Linked DNA regions of Drosophila melanogaster. The protein of the gene in region 2 interacts with the protein of the main gene of each other region in a pairwise test. Each region holds a gene or a part of one and is shown on either strand. Other genes may lie near its edges.

What was found.
Region 1: the proteins of Swim (region 2) and zormin interact in a two-hybrid assay, tested with the Drosophila melanogaster proteins (one large-scale study listed by BioGRID).
Region 3: the proteins of Swim (region 2) and cer interact in a two-hybrid assay, tested with the Drosophila melanogaster proteins (one large-scale study listed by BioGRID).

What each region holds. Positions count from the first base shown.
Region 1 is NT_037436.4:2,148,585-2,153,637, reverse strand, and holds the start of zormin (zormin), read left to right. Parts: upstream 1-1,937; 5' UTR 1,938-2,028; intron 2,029-3,356; 5' UTR 3,357-3,548; coding exon 3,549-3,893; intron 3,894-5,053.
Region 2 is NT_033778.4:22,199,655-22,204,535, forward strand, and holds the start of Swim (secreted Wg-interacting molecule), read right to left. Parts: upstream 3,018-4,881; 5' UTR 2,836-3,017; exon of another isoform or gene 2,261-2,835; intron 2,150-2,260; exon of another isoform or gene 1,854-2,149; intron 1-1,853. Other genes in the region: Alp7 (alkaline phosphatase 7), read right to left, coding at 4,078-4,265, 4,331-4,881.
Region 3 is NT_033778.4:19,395,622-19,398,420, forward strand, and holds cer (crammer), read right to left. Parts: upstream 1,152-2,799; 5' UTR 1,042-1,151; coding exon 1,003-1,041; exon of another isoform or gene 942-1,002; coding exon 741-941; 3' UTR 594-740; downstream 1-593. Other genes in the region: SdhA (succinate dehydrogenase, subunit A (flavoprotein)), read right to left, coding at 66-122.

The DNA.
Region 1 (5,053 bases), on a different chromosome or scaffold from region 2:
GTTTTTGTCTTTTTTATTTTGTTTGCCATTTTACTTTGCATGATTGTTCACTGTTTTCTACCAAAATTTATTAGTTCGATTGAACTTTAGCTTAAAAGATATACTAAAATGCCTGCGCAAAAGGTTTTTAAATATTTTATGTTTGAAAAATGTCTTTTGCTTATACTTTCTCTGCTTTAAATATAGTAGTAGAAATATTTATTTAGTTAGTTCAAATTAAGTCTAAGGCTTGCAAAAATTAGAGAATTCCCAAATGGTTAGAAAATATATTTAAAGTAAGAATTTAAATTCACTTACGGCCAGTCGAAATTTTTGCCATTAATCATATGTTTAATATTTATTTATAACTATTTCTCCCACACAGTCACAGTCACAAAACATAGTGCAATTAATATCGAACATGTTTTACCCCAAAAATAAAGCTAATCATTTATAATTTTTTTCAATACCTCCTAACTTTTCAGGTATTTAGTTTTAAATTTTATGCTTAAGCAAGTAAGTAACTCGTAACTGCAAAATTTGAATGTAATCTCGAAAATCCATGAAAACATTGCATAACTTTGGGCTGCATCCGTGAAAAGTCATTGCCATCATCTGCACTTAACCCTTGAGTGCTCTTTTGGACTTTTCCACCCTAAATAATTTTTTTCAATTTCCCTCTGTGGGTGGCCCTTTCCCCCAAACATTTAACAAGTGGTCCTCAAGTGATTTCAATTATCTGAAATGTGAACTGGCAGTGGGTGCAGCGGGGAAATGGGGTTAAGAGGGGTTGGCTGCTTTTGTGAGCTTCGTCAAGTGGCTCATTAATCTCAATTAAAAAACATATAAATAAATCGCTCTGAGTGTGGTGAGTGAGTGAAAAGAGTTTATACTTAACGAGCTGATCATCCAGAAAGGCGAACCAAATATCTATGAGATTCTTTTCATGCCATTCGACCAGATTTTCTGACGTGCCGGCGCTGAAAGCATAATTCGATAAGTTCGAATCGTTGATAGCGAAAAATAATAACACACATCTGCAGCGCATTGATTGCCGCAACTGCTGTTGCACGCAAGAAGCGTCGGATGTTGCACGTTGAATATTGCACGAAATCCGGAGCCAAAGCCAAAGCTGCAAGACACGCATTTTGGGTGAAAAATACTTCATAAATTGGGGTATAGAGCATCATGGGTGGTGAGGGGATTTAAATGCGGGCGGTCAGTCAGTTTGCCTTGCATTAAGACACGATATCGTCTGGTTTCCTCCGCTGCTCTGGTGTTGTTATTTTGATCTTCCACTCTTCACCATGTTATTAAAGTACAAAAGCTGCACTTGAATATGTTGTGGTTTAAGGTACCTCGTCTTATATGGGGTGTATAAGACCAACGAGGAAAAGGTCTAGCCAAGGGGAAAAATCATCCACACATAAGATGTTAAGTTAGATGAATATTCAAAAGTAAATGCGAATAAATAAAGTGAGGGCATAAGAGGGTAGCAACAGTTCGCTTAAAGTTACCCTTTATCATCAGAATTACAGGGTACAAGCTCGCTTCATATCGCTTTACCTTCTCTTCGTATTGTAATTGCTGAAAAGCCGGGCGCAGGGCATTAAAAATTGAAATCATGAATTAACGACGCCGCGAATGCCAAGAGCACTTGTTTATTTATGTCGTCTCCCCTGAAGCCCCGCATCTTGCCTCTTTCTCTAGCGTCTAGCGTCTCCAGCCCTCTCTTTCACACTCTCTCATTTTCAAAATACAAGCCGGCTTTTCAAAACTGAGCTTAGCCAGTGTCAAGAGATCAAAACAAGAGAACCGCTACCTGCATGAATGAATTGAGCGAATCGGTTAAGTTTCATGGGCTGCACGCTCTTTATCTCTTTCTGATCGGCTGTCTCCCGTAGAATCTGCTCAGTCTTCGGTCTCCGGTCTTCAGTCTTCCGATCATTTAGTCAGTCTTGTTCGAAGTTCGCGGCGTTCGGTTGTTCGGCTGTTGGGAAAGCGGCGCGCGCGTTTTGATTTTCCACATCTCCACCGCTCGAATATAATGTGCGAATAAAAACATATCTATGTAAATTAAGTTAGGCAGAAAACGAGGAAGAAAACAATAAATTTGGCACTTCAAAAAAAAAGCGAAATGAAACGTAAATTAATCAGCCATAATTTACCTAGAACATTTTTGACATTCAAAAATGCTTGGCGCTAGTTTTTTTTGCGTTCACTCGTCTAAAGATGAAATCAACAATCTGTGCTAAATTTATTGTTGTTGTCGAATATTCAGTTTTGTGACGACCCTCAGAAAGCACAAACAAAATGTTTAACAAATAGAAAACGACACAGAATGCGCGAAAAAAATATTTTTCAAAAATATTCGGTGACCTGATGCATTGAAAGCTTATTTGTTTGAGTCATGTGCATATTTCAATATACTACAACAGTCCACGCCCCAGAAAATTTCAATCAACAATTTTCCATTTTTTTTTCTTTTAAATTTTTTGGACAACAACATATGGAGGCAAAGCATTTCCTCGATTGCGCTACTGTAAACTTTTATAAAGGGAACTTGTTCTTCCCAATTTTTGGTTTGCTGCTTATTTTTAGACAGCGCAAAGTACAATTAAAATAGTTTACATTACGCCAGCAACGGCGGCGACTATTAAAAATTGAGAGAAACACCAAAAATTACCTAATGGAGGCAGCTGGCTGCACACGAGCATACGCGGCGTATGCGTAATGTATTCAAAAATATCGAAAAATCCATGAAAAATGACTGACTGGCGACGACTTCTGCCAATGCAATTGGCACATGTTACAGATTTGACGAACATCCGCGCGCTTTATCTATTAGCTATAGTAGCCTGTATCTGTAGCATCGCAGTATCTGAGTATCTGGGCTAGAACAACAGTTTAGCTTCGTGGCAGAAATCGCCGCAAAAAATTACTCAATAGTTTGTTGTTTTAAAAATAAACGCGAATCGAGCATTGTCTTTGAGTTTTGGCGGGGCGGGGGGCTACCGAGGTTCTACAACGAGACTAGCACACGCATCAAAGGCAATTTTCTCAGGCTCAATATGCAAAAAGTACACACGATTCTCTCGGCTATATAGCCGTATATATAGACACTACGGAATAATAAACAGACACTAGAGCGACAGGGAGAGCGCGAGTATGAAGTCATAGTCATCGCGGCGGGCAAAAAGAATTCTCCGTTTCGAAAATCTACCGATTCGCGGAGGTTCTCAGACGATCGCCGGCGTTGATAGCGCTCGCAACGAAACGAAGGAACCGCCGAATCGAATCCCCTGGCTATAACTAATCCCAATAAATTAAATCCGAACGCGAGTGACTCAATCTAATAGTTCCACTTTTTCGAGCAGAGTTCAAAATGCAAAACACGAGACACAAGCAGGGGAAGTAAGCCAAAATACGAGAAAAACTAAACGACAGAGATTATAAAACGCCCACGCAAAACACACCAAACTACAAGCACTCACTCAATCCTCGAAAGTTAGTCAAAAAAAAAGAAAACAGAGAGAAGTAGAGACGAGCAGATAGAAAGAAAAGCAACCATGGAACGCCGCCAAGCCCTAGACTCATCGATGTCTTCGCTCTACTCGGTCGCCTCCTCCTCGAATCCCAATCCCCGCCAGCCGCACACCGGCCACCAACTTCAGACGCAGCAATCCCAGCAATCTCAGCAGTCCCAGCTAGACGCCTTCAATTATTCAGCAACAATGTCATCATCGTCGCCGACTCCAAGTCAGGCCATGTCCACAGCCATGTCCACGGGCACGGGCACCGGCACCGGCACCACCCACACCACACCACCATCCTCCTCCTCCCTGAGAGCCACCACCATTGGCACCGTTGTCGTCCGATGCGGACCCATCCAGCTGGTGATAGCGCTCCTACAAGTGAGTTGTACTCTTGTACCCCGCAAACAATAAAAATAGTAAACTAAAAAACGAAACGAATCCAAACAAAAAACACACAGCAAAAAGGCCAAGAAATGGGAAACAAACATGAAGAAACATTTATCTAGATACGGGAGAAGTGTTCGGAGAAAGCTCTTGAAGTGCGCGGAAATTTATGCGGAAGGCGATCTGGGAGGACTTCAAAAGAGATTTGGGACGGGGCATTGGGAGATCTTGAATAAATCATAAATCTAGAAGTGCAGTCAGGTTTCGAAAACACGGGGAAACATCTAGGATAAGCTGTGGTCATTGAAACATCTTATGAAAAAAGTTGCATTCGACTCAGTTTTATGTGAAGCTATAAAAATCCATAACAACCAATTAAGCCAGTCTAAATATATTAACCTTTTTTTTCAATATAAATGAGCTTATCATTTGAATGACGACATAATCTTTGTTCATTATTAATGACAGTGCAATTATATATTTACATTTTTTTCATTTTGCGTAGTGGGGCAAAAACAGTCTGAGAGATGTAAAGCAAAGAAAATAGTTCAATAGATACATTATCTCAGATTGTTATCAAATCATTTTTCAATCAATTTATCACTATAAAACAACGTTCGACTATTATTAAATGGCCCAGCCTCCAACCAAGCAAATGTTCACTACCAATCGGTCGACATTAATTGATAAATTTCTATAATTATCCCATAGCTAGCCCCTTCGGATCTGAGGCAAAACTATGTGACTTTAGCACTGAAAAATTCATGAACTTCTAATGCCCAAAACTGGCTTACAATTTTCGATTGTTTAAACCGGCTTCCAGCGATTTCCGCGCCAATTAGCACTCGAACAACGAAAGCAAAAGTTGTTGATAGCGGTTATAAATATTTGAAAAACGGCAGCAGAAAAACAAACGCCACAAAAGGTTCAAGGTTGTCTGACATCAGAGCAAAGACACAAAAGCCAACTAAACGTGACAAAAAGAAATGTATCTGCCAGATACTTTCGACAATTAGGCGCAGCTGCTACCTGTCTGGGTCCATTTCGAGCTGGCAGAATCAGTTTCTTCAGAGAGAAACTTTGTTTGGGTCTTCTCCGCAGATTTGCCCCCTTTTCCAACCCCTCCAAATCGCTCGAACTTGAAGATGCGACTT
Region 2 (4,881 bases):
GAAGACCTTTCTGCTTAAAAGAGCTGCCGCATTTTTATCAACAAATACAGTAGAGAAAATTGAATGAAATTGACTGAAAATATAATAATATTTCTTCCTAAGCTTAAAAATATGAATAAATAATTTGACAGTATTTAACATTTCTTGTCGTTAGAGGCGTTTGAATTAACTATCTGATGGAGAAACAATTCCCACTTTAGGCGACGTCCACTACTCATTCATGAACTATTATGGCTTTATTCGCTCTATCTTTCGATCTGACTGGCTGTCACTTTCTGGACTGGGGTTTCACTTTGGCCAAGTTCAATTAGCACGGCGTGCATAATTGAAAGTGCCAACAGGTCCCCTGTTTTCGATCGCAGGGCGCCACTTTAGCGCTTGCCAAGGTGTGAACTGCTAATGGGCCACAAATATCGACTGGGAAAAGCAAATAGGCCATGTTTCTTGGCCAAATAACAACCGGGCCGAAATGCCTAGCGCTGCAGTGCAGGTGGGCCGTGACGTCACGTAGATCCGTATTTGCAATTGGCAATGGAGCGTACGATAATCATCGGTGACGTCATTTGTCAACCTGCTGACAGCCAAGTGATAGCTAAATGCATTTTCCATTTAGCGCCATTGAATCACTGATTGAATGGGAGTCGATACGTGCCGTAAATCAAATTCGACGGCGGTGGCAAGCACTGTGACAACAGCAGATCGTACTTCTCGTCAAATGGCGAATAAAAATAGGAGGTAAAATAAATAAAAATACCGATATGTACATTCCATCACCTGGGAAAGGTTAAAGTTCAGTGTCGAGAGGTGTGGGTGTCCATTAATCGCATGCAAGCCCCTCGGCGACTCATAACCACATTGTAGTAATCGTAATAGCCATAATAACGATTCGAATCAATTACGAAAATATGCTACGATCGGACCCAAAACACCCAAAGCGTGTCAATTGCGATTGAATAAATAAATGTGTGCATTTAACATATTTACTCACTATTCACAAATAACCTTAACCGCCGAGCTGCAGTCGGCCAACGGTGCGTATGAGCCATATATCAAAACGATGATGGAGCAATTGTAAACTGCATGTGATGCAATTTACATTTTAATTGCCGATTTTCTAGCTGAGCTGTGTTCTGTTGCCCAGGCCAATCCATTTAAATGGCGCTTTGCCTAATGACATCGTCACGTTCCCCCCTGTCTACAGTGGGCCCCCACTAGCACTTCCCCCATTTTCGTCGCTCTCAAATCTGAGCTATTCGAATCATTGATTATGCAAATCCCACAAAGGTAATCAAATAGGCCTGAGGGTTGTGGCACATACTTAACGAGTCGTAAAGTCTCTGAGAATTATGTAAATGCAAATTGGATCGGCGACGTTAGGATCGTAACTATGGCAGGGAGGAGGAATTCATTTCGGAGCTGCCATTATGCTACACAGTTCAAGATCCCCAGCCCCAGAAGCGCCAGCCATCCCGCGAACAGAGATAAATATGACATCACCTGGACAAGACCAGTAGCCATGTTTCTGGGTTTTTGCTCACTCACCTTTGTCAGGTGTGCTTGCTTTCGGTTTGTTTTTGTTATTTGTTTTTGTAGGGGCTTCGGTGGGGGGAGGTGCCGGAACTGGACCGGATTGCGTGTTTGCTTTGTCCGCTCAAAGATGAAAACTAACAAATTTATGGGATTAGTTGCGATACTATATAATATTGAATATTTGGCTGCTCTGGTTTGTATTGTTGATGGTGTTTCGTTACAGATTGCTCGAGCAATTCGCTTCCTGCCCGAATTCTGGTTAACCTTAGAGACCAGCCATATTTACATAGAGATACATATATCCATGATTATAAAGCTGAATCGTCACATTTTGCCCACTGATACCTGACACTTCTCAGGGGTTACGCTAGCTTCAGTCTCACCGAATCAGGCACTTAACTTCAAATCCAAAGGATAGTGCATTCGCCTGTTTGTATGGGTTGCATTTGCATTTCCATTTGTTCAAGTTCACGGTCAGTAGAGCAAAATACACAGAACTAGAATAACATGTTCGCCTGACGGCAGCAAAAGCTAATGCCCAAAGTAAACATCGCCGGAGGAATTCCAGCTGCACATCGAAAATAAGACGCAATCCCCAGGTTGTCTATTTGGTTTTTAGGTAAAAATTCGGTGCCAAAAGCCCACCGCTTTCCTCTGCGATGATCGATTGCAGTCGTGTCGGTGGAGATTTCATTATTTTGTTGTTTTTTTTTTTTGCTGTTATAAATAGCGTGACTCAGGCGGATTTAGCATCCGTATCTGGTGAATGCATCTCCATCTGCTGTGCACCCACGAACCGCCATCAGCGCTTTTGGCCAGACCCGATCTTGGCCCAAAGTGGCACAAGCATCTTCCAGACTTTCTAGCGGTGCGTCCCGTGGAAAATGCAAGTTTGCTCAGATTTCTGATAAATGTTTGTGTTTGCCGTCCAAATTTCCAGCTGGCGCTGGCGAAAGGGGAAATAGTTGGGCTAAATGGGTTAGCTCTTTATCTAAACGGATTGCGCGGCTTAAATGGCCAAAGTAGAGCAAATATTTAAGGTCATATCTCGGTATAGGGCTGTTTGCTTAGTCTGATTAATTAGCAAATTAGCAAGTGCCAACTGATATAGCTCACAGAACGAGATCCTCCTGTTGTTGTTTTCCGACTCGAATGTCTGTTCGTTAACCGCAAATCCGGAGACAATCCATCTGATATTGATTTCCCGCCGAGCCACGCATTCAATTACAATTTCAACACTTGCTCTGCGTTGCAATTCGAACTGGACTCGGTTTATCTGTAAGTTTATCTACCACAAATTCTCACCTGTCACACACAATTCAGTTGGTAATCGCCGAAACTGAGATTCAAACGTTAAAGATAAACTCGCGCACTATTAGCCAGCCAGACGAAAAGTCAGCTGAAATTAGCGTCAAATCGGGCATAAACTGTAAAGACTGATCTGATCCGCACGCGACAGATTTGGAACCCAAACTGAGACTGAGCCAAGTTAGCAGACCAAGCTGAGCTGCAAACTGAACTGCGATCTGAGGACTGCGAATGGGGAAACGACGCGACTTTAAAAGCCGACAAGCTGCTGCCGACAAGCGATTTGCGTTTTACGACCACAACACTAAGTAAACGAACCCCTGGCTTCCACTTTTCGCTGAGCCAGCAATCGTTGAACAAGCGAATTTTTCAGAACTTTTAAACAACAAAAATTCCCAAAATAAAGACTCAAAGTAATCCGAAACAAGGACAAGGCACGAGCGAAAATGAGCTGGAATGAACTTACTTTAAAATATAAGTTTCACTAACAAGATCACTACTTTAGTACTTTAAACAAATGCTACAATAAACATTTTAATATGTTCCTCTTTTGGCAATTTAAATATTTCAATGTACGAATCGGAATATTTTCTGTGTGTGCAGACGAATAATTGAGTTATTGAAGTCGTTGGGGATCGAGGACACCGCCTTGGCCAGAGCGATCCTTAATTGCGTAAGAAACGAGAAAACATTAAGCTTAATTGTCTGGAGCTGCGCCTTCATCTCGACTCACTTCATGTCAAGCGCATTTAAATAAATTCTGTTGAATGCGCAAACCCATAAACAAGCAAACAATTACAAGTCAAAGTCAGAGCGAGTGAAGGAGCTGCTCCAGATGCGTGTGGGAGTCAATATATCTACATCTGTGCATCTATATATCTACGGCATATCTGTGTATCTGCGTATCCCCAAGTGTCGGCAATGCCAATGCTTGAACCTGACATTCAGCGAATTCATATTTATTCCTTACCCCCCACAAGTGACAGCCATCGACTGGCAACAAATCGATGCGATCGCTCAATCTATCTAAATCTTTGTTTGTATCTGTATCTGCATCTGCGAGTGTCTGTCTTTTCGCTGATGCGTTTTAAATTGAAGTCAATTCGGCAGACTCGTGCAATAAATTACGGGAGTCGGGCCAATTTGATTATTGATTTCTGCAAAGTGCTCCCCCAGAATCAAATCAAAGTGAGAGCAGGGTGCTTTCCAAATACTCTATATTATAGATTCATTAAAATTCTAGTCCTCATTGTCACAGAGAGTGGGTCCATTGCCAATGCAGGAGGCATAGGCCATCAGGTGGGGAATGGTGCTCTGCTGCATCACGCCGGTGAAGAGATGACTTTGCGGACCAGTAGCGAAGATTCCCACATCATCGCCAGCATGAACGCCAATAGTGCCGTGGATGTAGCTGGGGTGGATGAAGTCTAGAAGGAAAGCAGATTGGTTCGCTTATCACTTATCAAGGCGCCCAAAAGTAGAATTCACTTACCTTCCGCTCCAATTTGATCCGTAAGATCGATGCGCTGGCCGTGCTCATCCAGATACTGATTGGTTCCCACTGCATAGTTGAGAGTGGCGTACTTAACTCCATTCACATCGGTGTCATCCTGATTGAGACCCAAAATGGGGGTTCCTCTGCCAGGATAACCAGAGATGGTCAATGGATGGGCGTGATCGGAGGTGACTACAATCAGGGTCTCTTCGGGATCGGTTATATCCAGAGCCTCCTGAACAGCCTGCTCGAACTGAAGCGTCTCTGAGAGCGAATAGGTTGGGGAGTTGAAGTGGTTGCCATAATCGATGAGTCCACCCTCGACGAACAGAAAGTAGCCACCATCGCGTTTGCTGACCACCTCGATTGCTTTGCGCGTCATTTCCGCCAGTGTGGGCTCCTCCTTGGGATCGGCCATCTTATTGAAGCTCATCACTCCCGAGCGGAAGGTACCAATCAGGTTGGTGATCTTCGAGACATTCACGCTCAGCAGCTGGTTACGATTGTAGGCTAAAACACCGCCGGGATGCAGTCCCTGCCAGCGAGAC
Region 3 (2,799 bases), 2.8 Mb from region 2:
TCTTAAATCATTTCGTTTGCCACAGAGGAGCCTGGGTTTTCACTTCCAAAATGGGGACTACTTACCATGGAGGCGACTGCATTTTTGGCCAAAATCGATGGCACACGCATGATTCCGGACATGTTTGGCTGGGCTGTGAGGTTCTACTGCAAGATTCTGCAAGAGATTGGACCGAAAACGAGGTTTTACGCGCTTGTAAGATGGGGTGTTTGGTGTTGGTACAAAATAAAAACAAATAACTACGTGTATCGATGTGTCTATGTGATCGAAAAAGGAAAAGTTTACAAACTTTCAAATGTTGTGTGTGAACTGCCGCTCGTCGGCACTGCAGTTCGGTTCACTGACTCGCTCAATGAACGCTGAACCGGAACTAGTTCATCGCAGAAAGGCGTTAATCCGCTTTAAGTTCAAAATGTATATAGATACCGCGTACAAGCATACATATTTTTGGAATGGAATTTTACCATCTCAGCCGTACGTATTTATTTGCATATATCGTAGAGATAAATAAACCTTCGTTCATTGAACCAAAACCTAATGAACTGTTTTTCTCCCAGCCAAAGTGGCCAGAACACAAAAATCCCAAAATCTTTAAAATGTACAAAACAGCTGATTTATTGTTTATTTGGGGGTGGTTGAACGATAAAGATTTAAAAATTCAAATGCATATTTATAGAATTACAGAGAGATTAGTGTCTTTACAAAATGTCTATTTAAAATGAGATTCACTTGAGATTCTGTTAATTTGGCGGCACCTTTTTGCCACAACGCTGGGCAAATTCCTCAGGCGTGAGATCAGCCAAATGATTAATTCCCATTTTCCAAGTCACTTCGCCCTTCTCGAACTTCCGATTGTGTTCCTCAATCCGGGCTTTGGACTCGGCGTAGATTCTACGACGCATCAGATCCTCCTCTGCCTCGTAGTTCTTGTCGAACTTGGACTATGGTGGAATCAAGTGATTTCTAAATATTGCGTCGCTTGCTAGGACATATTGGGCCTACCTTGTACTCCACCCACTCCTCATCTGAAACCAGGGACATCTTGACACTTGTAATTTTGGTGACCGACTAAATTTCGTTTCAATTCTCAGGTTTTATCACGGTTTCGCACTGAGTCACAACATATAAACACAACAAAGAAACGATAATATATGCAGCTGATCAGAGATGCCACTTCGGTGAAAAACAAACATAAATAACAGTGGGCCCTCGTTTATGAAAACCGGATACTATTCAAATTCGATTTAAATCATATGCTAAATTCTCAAACATTATAAACATTTAATGCAAAACCATTGTTACATTTTTTGGAATGACTACTCAAAAAATAAATACAAATAAAAAAAACCTCTTTTCAAATACTTTTGAATTTTGTACAATTTTCAAGTTTTTATTTATTACGTGTTTACTTCTTCGTGTGTGTCGTGTTTTTTCTTGTGTATAATACGAATTTAAATATATATTTATATGCATTTTCTTACACTCTAAACAAATTTTATGAATAAACTTTCGGCTTCTCGTTTGCTTTTTTCAAAAGTTTTTTTATTATTTGCACAGAGTGAGAATATTGACATATTTCTAATGTTAATCTAAGGACAAAATTATACAGACTTTTTCGCCTTAATGACGCAAAAAAGTTGCTAGAAATAAGCTTCTGTCGTTGCGCAAATAATCAGTTTAATTATACTTTATATTTTGCCGTTTTTTTTTTTTGTTTGTTTGTTTGTCTAAGGCTCAGCAATGCAAGTATTATGTTGTAAAGAGAGTGTTTTCAATGTGGTGGTGGGTTTGGGTAGGAAAAGCAGAAACATTCGATTTATCTGGCATTAATCATCGGGGTTTTAATTTTATGTCAGTTAATTTGAAATGTAAATGCGTTTAAGTTGTGCCTTAAAGTTTTACATGCTATGGCAGTCGTATATAGTTAATTGCAGTATTCGTTATTCATCGATTTGAATATTATAAATGGAAAAGCGATTACAAATCAAGCACATCTACTTACAAAAGAAATGCTGAAATTTGATTCTTGGAGATAATTTTTGGAAAATTCCAACCATTCTCAGTGATTGTGTTGTTTCTGCTTTCCTCAGAGTAATCGCATGTTTTAATGCGGGCGTGGTGTATTTTTGGATTTTCGTTTTCTTCATAATTTATTGGTTTTTATAAATATATATATGTATATGTATGTATAAACAGTTTTACGTACATAAAAATATATAATTATTTATATAAAAAACTAATACAATTGCTGCATGTATACAATAATTATTTATTCGTTTTGTGTGCAAATTGTGGCTGCCCGGAATTTAAAAACAAAACAAAAGAACACAAAAACATAAAACGCGCTTTCACAAAACACACACATGCCTAGAATATCAAATTGTAGTTGTTGTCATCGAATTTATTGCATTTCTAAAAAAATATTGCATTTAAGTATTATGCATGTACCACGCTTGTACGTATGTGTCTAAAAACAAAAGTTTGCCTTTGTTTCAAACAAATCTTTGTTTGTCGTTAGAGTTGCCTGGGAATTTGTACCCTTTTTTATCTGTTCATTTGCTTTACCATGTCATCATGTAGTAAGGTGTGTTGCGTAGTTATTTTATAAGCTAATACATCTAGAAGATATTTGCAAGTTACTTGTTTAGGACAAAGCGGCGGTGTCGGATATTGCGTGTACACCTGCAAACCTCATTCTCGTTTATCATACAAATTGTTGTGTGAATTGCATTTATCTCTCTCTGTGTGTGTGTGTGTGTGGAGGGGAGGGTGTGTTGCCGTGGCCATCGTATAAATTAA